2 linked regions of the Nothobranchius furzeri genome follow. The protein of the gene in region 1 purifies or fractionates together with the protein of each later gene. This does not show direct contact. Links are inferred from orthologs where the notes say so. Each region holds a gene or a part of one and is shown on either strand. Other genes may lie near its edges. The genes, in order: slc7a14a and golm1.

Region 1 (3,826 bases):
TACAATTAAAGCCGTTCCTATTAACAGCATTTAAACACATTTATGGTGGAGACACGGCAGGTCTTTGTATGGCCCTGTTGGAGAATTCCTGTGTCCATCTACATAATAACCTCATGTTATCTTCCAGTTTTATAAGATACCTTTTTCTAAAGTAGAAAACATTCCTGGGAAAAATGCAATTACCGGTAAATAGTTTTTCTGCACTATATTTTTTGACAAATACGGGAAAATTAGGAGATTTTTAAATAAAATTTGTTTCTTATTGTAACTTAAATATTTATGATGTTTCCCATGGTAAACTAGTTTACTTTAACATTTTCTGTCAGGTTTGGGCATTTCATGGGTCAACGGAGTAAATATGACTATATTGTTGAATTCCCTTGTTTATTGAAATGACTTCATTTCTAAACTGTGTGTGTATCTCCTTTAGGTAAAGGAGAACAGTCATATCCTGACCTACTGGCCCTGCTAATAGCCTTGTTGGTGACAGTGATTGTGGCTTTAGGAGTAAAAAACTCCATTGGCTTCAACAACGCTCTGAACATCATCAACCTCATTGTGTGGGTGTTCATGATGATCGCTGGACTCTTCTTTGTCAATGGAGAGAACTGGGATGAGGGAAGATTTTTACCCTTTGGGTGGTCAGGAGTATGTGTGCAAACACCACACACACACACACACACACACACACACACGCACACGCGCACACGCACACACGCACACACGCACACACACAAAATCCTTCTGTATTATTTATACAAACCATTAATTATTTTACTGAATGTGTGTTGCAGGTGATGCAGGGTGCTGCTACTTGTTTCTATGCCTTCATCGGGTTTGACATCATTGCTACAACAGGAGAAGAAGCCAAGAGTCCCAACACCTCCATTCCCTATGCCATCACCGCCTCACTCATCACCTGCCTCACTGCCTATGTTTCTGTGAGTTTCCTCACTCCCACTGACATTAATCAAGTAGCTGAATCATCCTTCTGCTGGAGTATTTTAGACTATCACGCAGGCCCCACACAGGTTTCTCAGCTAATTTGATCGATCGTTTGTTTCAACTTCACCTGATCTACGTGACAAAATGATAACAGTGTTTGAATTTTTGAGACATCTTAACTGTTTGTAAATGTAAAAAGGTTGAATTTATCCACAATATTCATGTATTCAGGTCACACAGCTTTCAGGGTACACTGACTGGTTGTTGCTGTGGGTGCTGCACAACAGGAACCAATCAGAAATCAGGGATTTTTAGGCATTGCCTCAGGCAAAAATTGCATCGACTTTCAAACTTCACTCAGCCATGGGCGTCACACCCGTGGGGGATGTTTTTCTAGTGAGGAGGTTAAACACTTACACTTTCCCGCAGTTTAGCCAAAATACTTTGCTATCACTTCGGTCCTTCCGTGTTTCTCTTGATGTGTTTTCCCTTCCCGCCTCTCTCTCCTGTTGACCATTGAAACCTGCACTTCTGTGCACCGGTGTTATGTGAAATATTCAAGCCCAGTCAATCATTAACATGCGTTTCTCCTGCTGCTCTGCACTGCCCGAGCAGTGAGATCACATGGGCTCATCACAAGCTTGCTCTGAGCGCGTTCTGTTCTAACCACAGGAGAACTACAGCCTCCTTCAGCTCAAACATCTTTGAGCAGATCAACTCTTGGTAGGTTACTCGGGTAGCCAAATTATTTAGTGAAAGTTACGAGCACTACCCCTAAATATGCATCATCTCAAAGGTTGTGATTATCTTTCTCTTACTGAAGAACAAAAGATTAAATTATCACAAAAAGTTATCAGGATGTACCACAAAGCTGAAATTGGTCCAGTTTTAGTTTCAGAGCCAGGAAGAGCTATTCCAACCAGTTTTACTCTGATCTCATACTAAAACTACAAAACTTAGACTCTTCTAACCTGGACTAGAGTTTTTCTGAACTTTAATGCTTATTTGTTTTGTGAAAGCCCAAAGAAAGCAGATCTCAGCACTTTTAATTTTGCATCTACAGGTGAAACTGTTTAAATATGGTGCAAAAGTTGATTTATTACAGTATTTGAACTTAAAAGGTGAAACTAAGCAATAAGATAGACTCATTCCATGCAAATCCAGATATCCCAGCCTTTATTTGACATAATTGTGATGATTATGGCTTAAAGCTTATGAAAATCTCACATTTAAAATGTCTGACAATGTGAAAAAGTTCTATGTTCTAGGCTCAAAGTGTCACACTCTAATCAGCTAATGAATGAACAACTGCAAAGTTTTCTCAGTCTAAGATGGATTACTGACTGTTGAATATGAGTAAGAACATTTATTTCAAGAGTTCCGACTGATCACCTATGAAATAAAACATTTTGCATTTCATAATTACAGTAGATTAGAGATACTGGGGTGGAAAAAATGATTGAGAATTGACCTTTCTGAATTGAAAACTAAAACGGGGAACCAACTTCAGCTTCATACAAAACAAGTAAAAAACAAAAACAAAAAAAAAAAAGCCAAATGAATGAGAAAAAATAATCTAATTTTAAAATTGCATTCCAAATACGTTTAAGGTAGTATTTCTAATGATTTCAGGATAATGCACATAGGTCGTGTAACTACATGTGCGCACGTGCGAGCGTGCGCACGCACACGCACGTGTGTGTGTGTGTGTGTGTGTGTGTGTGTGTGAAAAATCTCAACATCTGCCACACTTTTGAGAAGCTTGCTACCCCCCTGCTCTCAGCCACATCTGTTCCTCCACCATCAAGCTTCTCCCTCACTCCAAGGCTTCCTTAACCTTTTTGATTTGACCTGTTGGCATTTTGTAAAAAATTCCTTCTCCTGTTCAGATCTTCCAACTGCCTTTATTTAATGAATAACATGACTGAAATAATTCTGCATATTAAATGTCTCATGTTCTTTTTTAGTGACGTTGCATTGTAACTTGAATGAACGATGTGAGATCATCTTTCTGATCCTGGGTTGAAATTCTTTCTGTTCTGAACTCGAACTCTTACCGGTGGTCTTTTGGGGATGATTAAAAGGGCATGCTACACCAGTGTATGTTCTGGTCCAAAATTCCCATGAACAAATTCCTGTTAACTAATCTCAGAGGAGCTGAAACTGTTTAATGGGAATTGTTATTATTATTATTATTATTATTTTTTACCATTAAATGCATTTTTGTAATAAAGCTCTGGTGTTTTGACACGTTAAGGGCAAAAATGTCAAGTTCCTCCACACCAAATTCACTCATCCATGTCTTTACTGGAAACTTTAAAGGGGCCACATCATGGAAAATCCACTTTTTAGAGCCTTTTTACCATGTGGTACATTTATTTCCTTATGAAAAATACCCCTAAACTTGTTTTGGCCTACATTCATGCATTTTCCTGTCGCAGCTGCAACTTTTGAATTTTATTTAGAAAATCCTGCAGAAGCCTTGATGGAAACTAAGTGCATCATCAAGCCCTGCTCCTCCCCCTTAAGCTATTTTCAGATCTGAAACCCCTCTCCCCCAGAAGTAGGAAGCTAGCGCTCACTTTCTACTAGTTGCGGGCATAGGCCGGCTGCTTCCATTCTCCAGTTGAGAATGTGACCTTCATGTCACAGATGACTGCTTTAAACCTCCACTGGTACCAGAGTGGATATTCTGGCCACTTACTTCTGCACTGGGGACAAGACACTGCCAATATTATTTTTTCAGTCTTTTAATGGTAAACTGTAAAATAAAAGGACTGATATTTTTTCTTTTATACTTTGTTTATTTAGCCAGTAAATGACCAAATCCGAAGATATTTAGAGACACAAAATAGTTTGCAGAAAATAATCAATAAGACAA
Region 2 (4,388 bases), on another chromosome or scaffold:
GGAGGCTGAGGAGTGTGATCCCCCTATAGTTGGAACACACCCTCAGGTCACCCTTCTTAAAGATGGGGACCACCACCCCAGTCTGCCACTCCACAGGAACTGTCCCCGATGACCATGCAATGTTGCAGAGACGTGTCAACCACGGCAGCCCTACAACATCCATAGCCTTGAGATACCCAGGACGAATCTCATCCGCCCCCGGTGCTCCGCCGCTGCGTAGTTGTTTGACTACCTCAGCAACTTCTGCCCCCGAGATTGGACAGTCCATCCCCAGGTCTCCCGGCTCTGGTTCCTCCTCGGAATGCGCATAGGTGGGATTGAGGAGCTCCTCAAAGTATTCCTTCCACCATCCGACTATAGCCCCAGTTGATGTCAGCAGCTCCCCATCCCCAGTGTAAACAGTGTGAGCGAGTTGCTGCCTCCCTCTCCTAAGGCGCCGGACAGTTTGCCAGAACCTCTTTGGAGCCGATCGATAGTCTTTCTTCATGGTCTCACCAAACTCCTCCCACGCCCGAGATTTTGTTTCGGCAACTGCCACTGCTGCACCCCGCTTGGCTATCTGGTACCTGTCTGCTGCCTCCGGAGACCCACAGACAAGCCACGCCCTGTAGGCCTCCTTCTTCAGCCTGACGGCTCCCCGAACCTCTGGTGTCCACCAGCAGGTATGGGGGTTGCCACCACGACTGGCACCGGCCACCTTGTGACCACAGCTAGCAACAGCCGCCTCAACAATCGCAGAGTGGAACAAGGCCCACTCGGAGTCAATGTCCCCCACTTCTCTCGGGACGCGGTCAAAGCTCTGCCGGAGGTGGGAGTTTAAGACCGTCTTGACAGGTTCTTCTGCCAGACGTTCCCAACAGACCCTCACTATGCGTTTGGGTCTGCCAGGTCTACGCGGCATCTTCTCCTGCCATCTGATCCAACTCACCACCAGGTGGTGATCAGTTGACAGCACCGCTCCTCTCTTCCCTCGGGTGTCCAAAACATACGGCCGCAGGTCAGATGATACAACTACAAAGTCTATCATCGACCTGCGACCTAGGCTGCCCTGGTACCAAGTGTACGATGGGCATCCTTATGTTCGAACATGGTGTTCGTTATGGCCAAACTGCGGCTTGCACAGAAGTCCAATAACGAAACACCAATCGAGTTCAGATCAGGTGGGCCTTTTCCTCCCAATCACACCCCTCCAGGTCATGCTGTCATTGCCCACGTGATCACTGAAGTCCCCCAGCAGGACAATGGAGTCCCCTGGTGGAGCACTATCTAGCACTCGTCCCAGGGACTCCAAAAAGGGTGAGATAGTATCTCGAATCTCATAATTAAGATATAGCTAAGTCATAATTATGTGACACTATCTCATTTTAATGAGGTAGTGTCTCATTATTATGAGATACTCTCACTATTATGAGACACTTTAAAGTCATGATTATGAAATTACATAGATTTTTTTTATCAGTGTACTATGGACTTCCACACAGCAGCTCGTACAAGGGAAAAAAGTGCTGTTATTCCCTCTGGAACCTCTGAGCGGGGCTAATGTTTTATTTAAAACCAGACACCCACCTAGTCCCCACACCGCTACGTGAACCGGTGTCTGTAAATGGTGCGGACCCACCGACAGTTCAGCCACGGCTGTTGGTGTAGCAGTAATGGGCAGGAGCTAGTTTGCAAGGGCGCTGAAGCGTTTTTATTTCCGTGAGGAACAGAATTTTTTTGGTACTCATCACAGAACTTCGCTCTACATACCTGGCTAAATATTTGCTTTGTTTTGGTTCTGTCATATCTGATAGGTGGATGATTACGCTGCTTGTCTGATGTCAACTCACGCTTTGTTGCTAACGGAAGTTAGCATTAGCGTCTACGGTGGTTACGAGAGAGACGATTCACATTAAGGGTTTATTTTTTGTTTGTTTGGCCGTCAGTGTTTAATCAATGATATAATTAAGGGTTTCGAATTTAGTTGTACATGTAATCGATACTAATTGTGTTGGAACAGTGTTTGTTTTGATCCTTAAAAAACGTGTCTGTTTATGTATTGTTTATGGCAAACTAGCTTAATTTTCCTGTGATTTGATAGTTTTTCACAATTCTCATTGATTGTTATTTTGTTAGTTATATTTGTTCTGGTTTGTCTTTGCTATTTTATCAGAAAAGCATTTGGATTCCACGTTGACTAATCAGCAGGATCTTTATGTGGTGTTTTCTTTATATTTAGATTTGAATGGGGATTTTACCTCCAGCTGTTTGTACTTTAACTGTAGTCATAATCAATATTTAACAGGAAGTATTTCTCAATTTTCATTACTTTGTCCTCTTGTAAATCCCCACTAATGCTAATTTGGTTTTGTGAATATTATTTACACTGGAAGTGGGTTTTTAAAAGTTTTATTAAATCAGTAAATTAATAGGTCTATAAAATGTCCTGCAAAATGTCCTGCTTATCAAACTGGGGCTTCTAGCTACAGAGTTGAATTCCTTTTATGACAAAGACAAGTGCAGAAATATTATCTCTCATTCTCTTTTGACACCAAGAAGTTAATCGGGTTTAATCTGAGACACATACTTCTAATTAGAAGTTCTGAAACTGCTTTTTGTGTCTTAAAATGATTATTTAACAAAAATATTTGTCTCTTGTTAGATGCAAAGTACCAGTTTAAAAAGCCTTTACGGTAACAATCATATGATCTGATTATGACCGTGTTTTGTGTATGTGTGTGTGTCCAGTTTCTAGATCACTATGGGTGGGTTGGGGAACGGCCGTCGTGGAGGACGATCCCCCCCTTTGATGATTGCAGCTCTGGTTGCTTGTATCTTGGTTCTGGGATTTAACTATTGGGTGTCCAGCTCTCGAAACCTGGAGCTACAAGTAGGTTTGGCTTATTTTTTTATAATATAGTTATTATAAATGTATGATTTATATATATATATAATAACTGATATTTTGTATCACACTTTTTTAAGTCTAAGGATTTCTGTAGACTTCAGAGGAACTAAAAGGGCTTCATGTTACACCCATTAGGCCTCATTAGGCTGCTACACTGGTTCCCTCTGATCACCGTCAGCAGGCAAGGAGGGTCAAGTGTCATTCCCAAGAATACAATGTCTGAAATTATGATTAACTTTTAAATTATATATTGAATAAACAAACATCTTGGTCTTAATTAATTTAAAATCCTCATGTTTCTTAGCCTGGCAAGCCATCCTATATATGTGAATATAAAGTCTGGCCACAGACCATTGACGGCTCTTAGACGTGGGGCGGGATCTACGGTTGACTTTCAAACGTGTCTCTGCATGCTATTTGATAACAAACATGTTGTATCCACCTCTACAGATGTCAAAATTAAATTTCAAGGGTGTTATAAACAAACTTTTGCCATATTTGTTTGTTCAATAACATCCCGCCCATCAACAGAAGGCAGTGATTGGCCCACCAAACCAATAGTGCACTGTGATTGGACCACTACAGAGCAGTCGCCATCTTAATTTAGCTCACTCAGGGGGCGCTGGTGCCTACCTCCATCGATCAATGGGCAATCAGGCGGGGTACACCCTGAACAGAGAGCCAGTCCATCGCAGGGCAACACAGAGACACACAGGACAAACGATCTCAAACACACACACACCTAAGGACAATTTGGACAGACCAATCAACCTAACAGTCATGGTTTTGGACTGTGGGAGGAAGCCGGAGTACCCGGAGAGAACCCACGCATGCACAGGGAGAACATGCAAACTCTATGCAGAAAGATCCCAGGCTGGGAAGCAAGGCAACAGTTCTAACCACTGCGCCACCGTGCAGCCCAACTTTTGAACATATCATTTGTTATTTGTAATAAAAACTAGGTTGATGACTCTAGTGCAAACATTACATATGGAAGCACAATGATAGCATAAAGCAAATGTCTGCAAAAAGTCTAAAACCCTTTCCTCTAAATAAACAAGACTTTATTCATATTTCTGCAGTAGGGAACAAACTGAGTGGATAATGTTAATATTCCACACATGCTGCTACTACGGCAATCTGAATCTGAACACATGCAGATAAAATGTGACTACTGTCAAAATGACCACACAGAATTAAGTACAACATATTTTACTAAAGATGCAAAAGCTGCATTTATTAGATACTCGTAAATCAATCCTCCCATGTTTACATTTTATTTCTGTATGAATTCCCACCGTTTTGATCTAATAGGAGCTCCTATGTGTCCCACAGACCAAGCTGTATGAGCTGGAAGGCCAGGTGAGACGTGGAGCAGCTGAGCGAGGAGCTGCAGAGACCAAGAAGGCGGAGTTTCAGGAGGAGATCCAGAAGCAGAAGGAGCAGATCACTCGCATAGAAATCATGTACAAGAGGCAACTAGAAGGAGCACAGGTCACCT

What was found.
Region 2: the proteins of slc7a14a (region 1) and golm1 purify together in Homo sapiens (co-immunoprecipitation; 3 studies listed by BioGRID and IntAct, with this or other methods). This does not show direct contact. The link is inferred for Nothobranchius furzeri from reciprocal best matches to the Homo sapiens genes SLC7A14 and GOLM1.

Annotation. Positions count from the first base shown.
Region 1 is NC_091758.1:22,803,907-22,807,732, forward strand, and holds part of slc7a14a (probable cationic amino acid transporter), read left to right. Parts: intron 1-430; coding exon 431-648; intron 649-794; coding exon 795-941; intron 942-3,826. UniProt on the Homo sapiens protein: Imports 4-aminobutanoate (GABA) into lysosomes. May act as a GABA sensor that regulates mTORC2-dependent INS signaling and gluconeogenesis. The transport mechanism and substrate selectivity remain to be elucidated.
Region 2 is NC_091757.1:48,315,656-48,320,043, forward strand, and holds the start of golm1 (Golgi membrane protein 1), read left to right. Parts: upstream 1-1,579; 5' UTR 1,580-1,719; intron 1,720-1,793; exon of another isoform or gene 1,794-1,897; intron 1,898-2,727; 5' UTR 2,728-2,740; coding exon 2,741-2,869; intron 2,870-4,222; coding exon 4,223-4,388.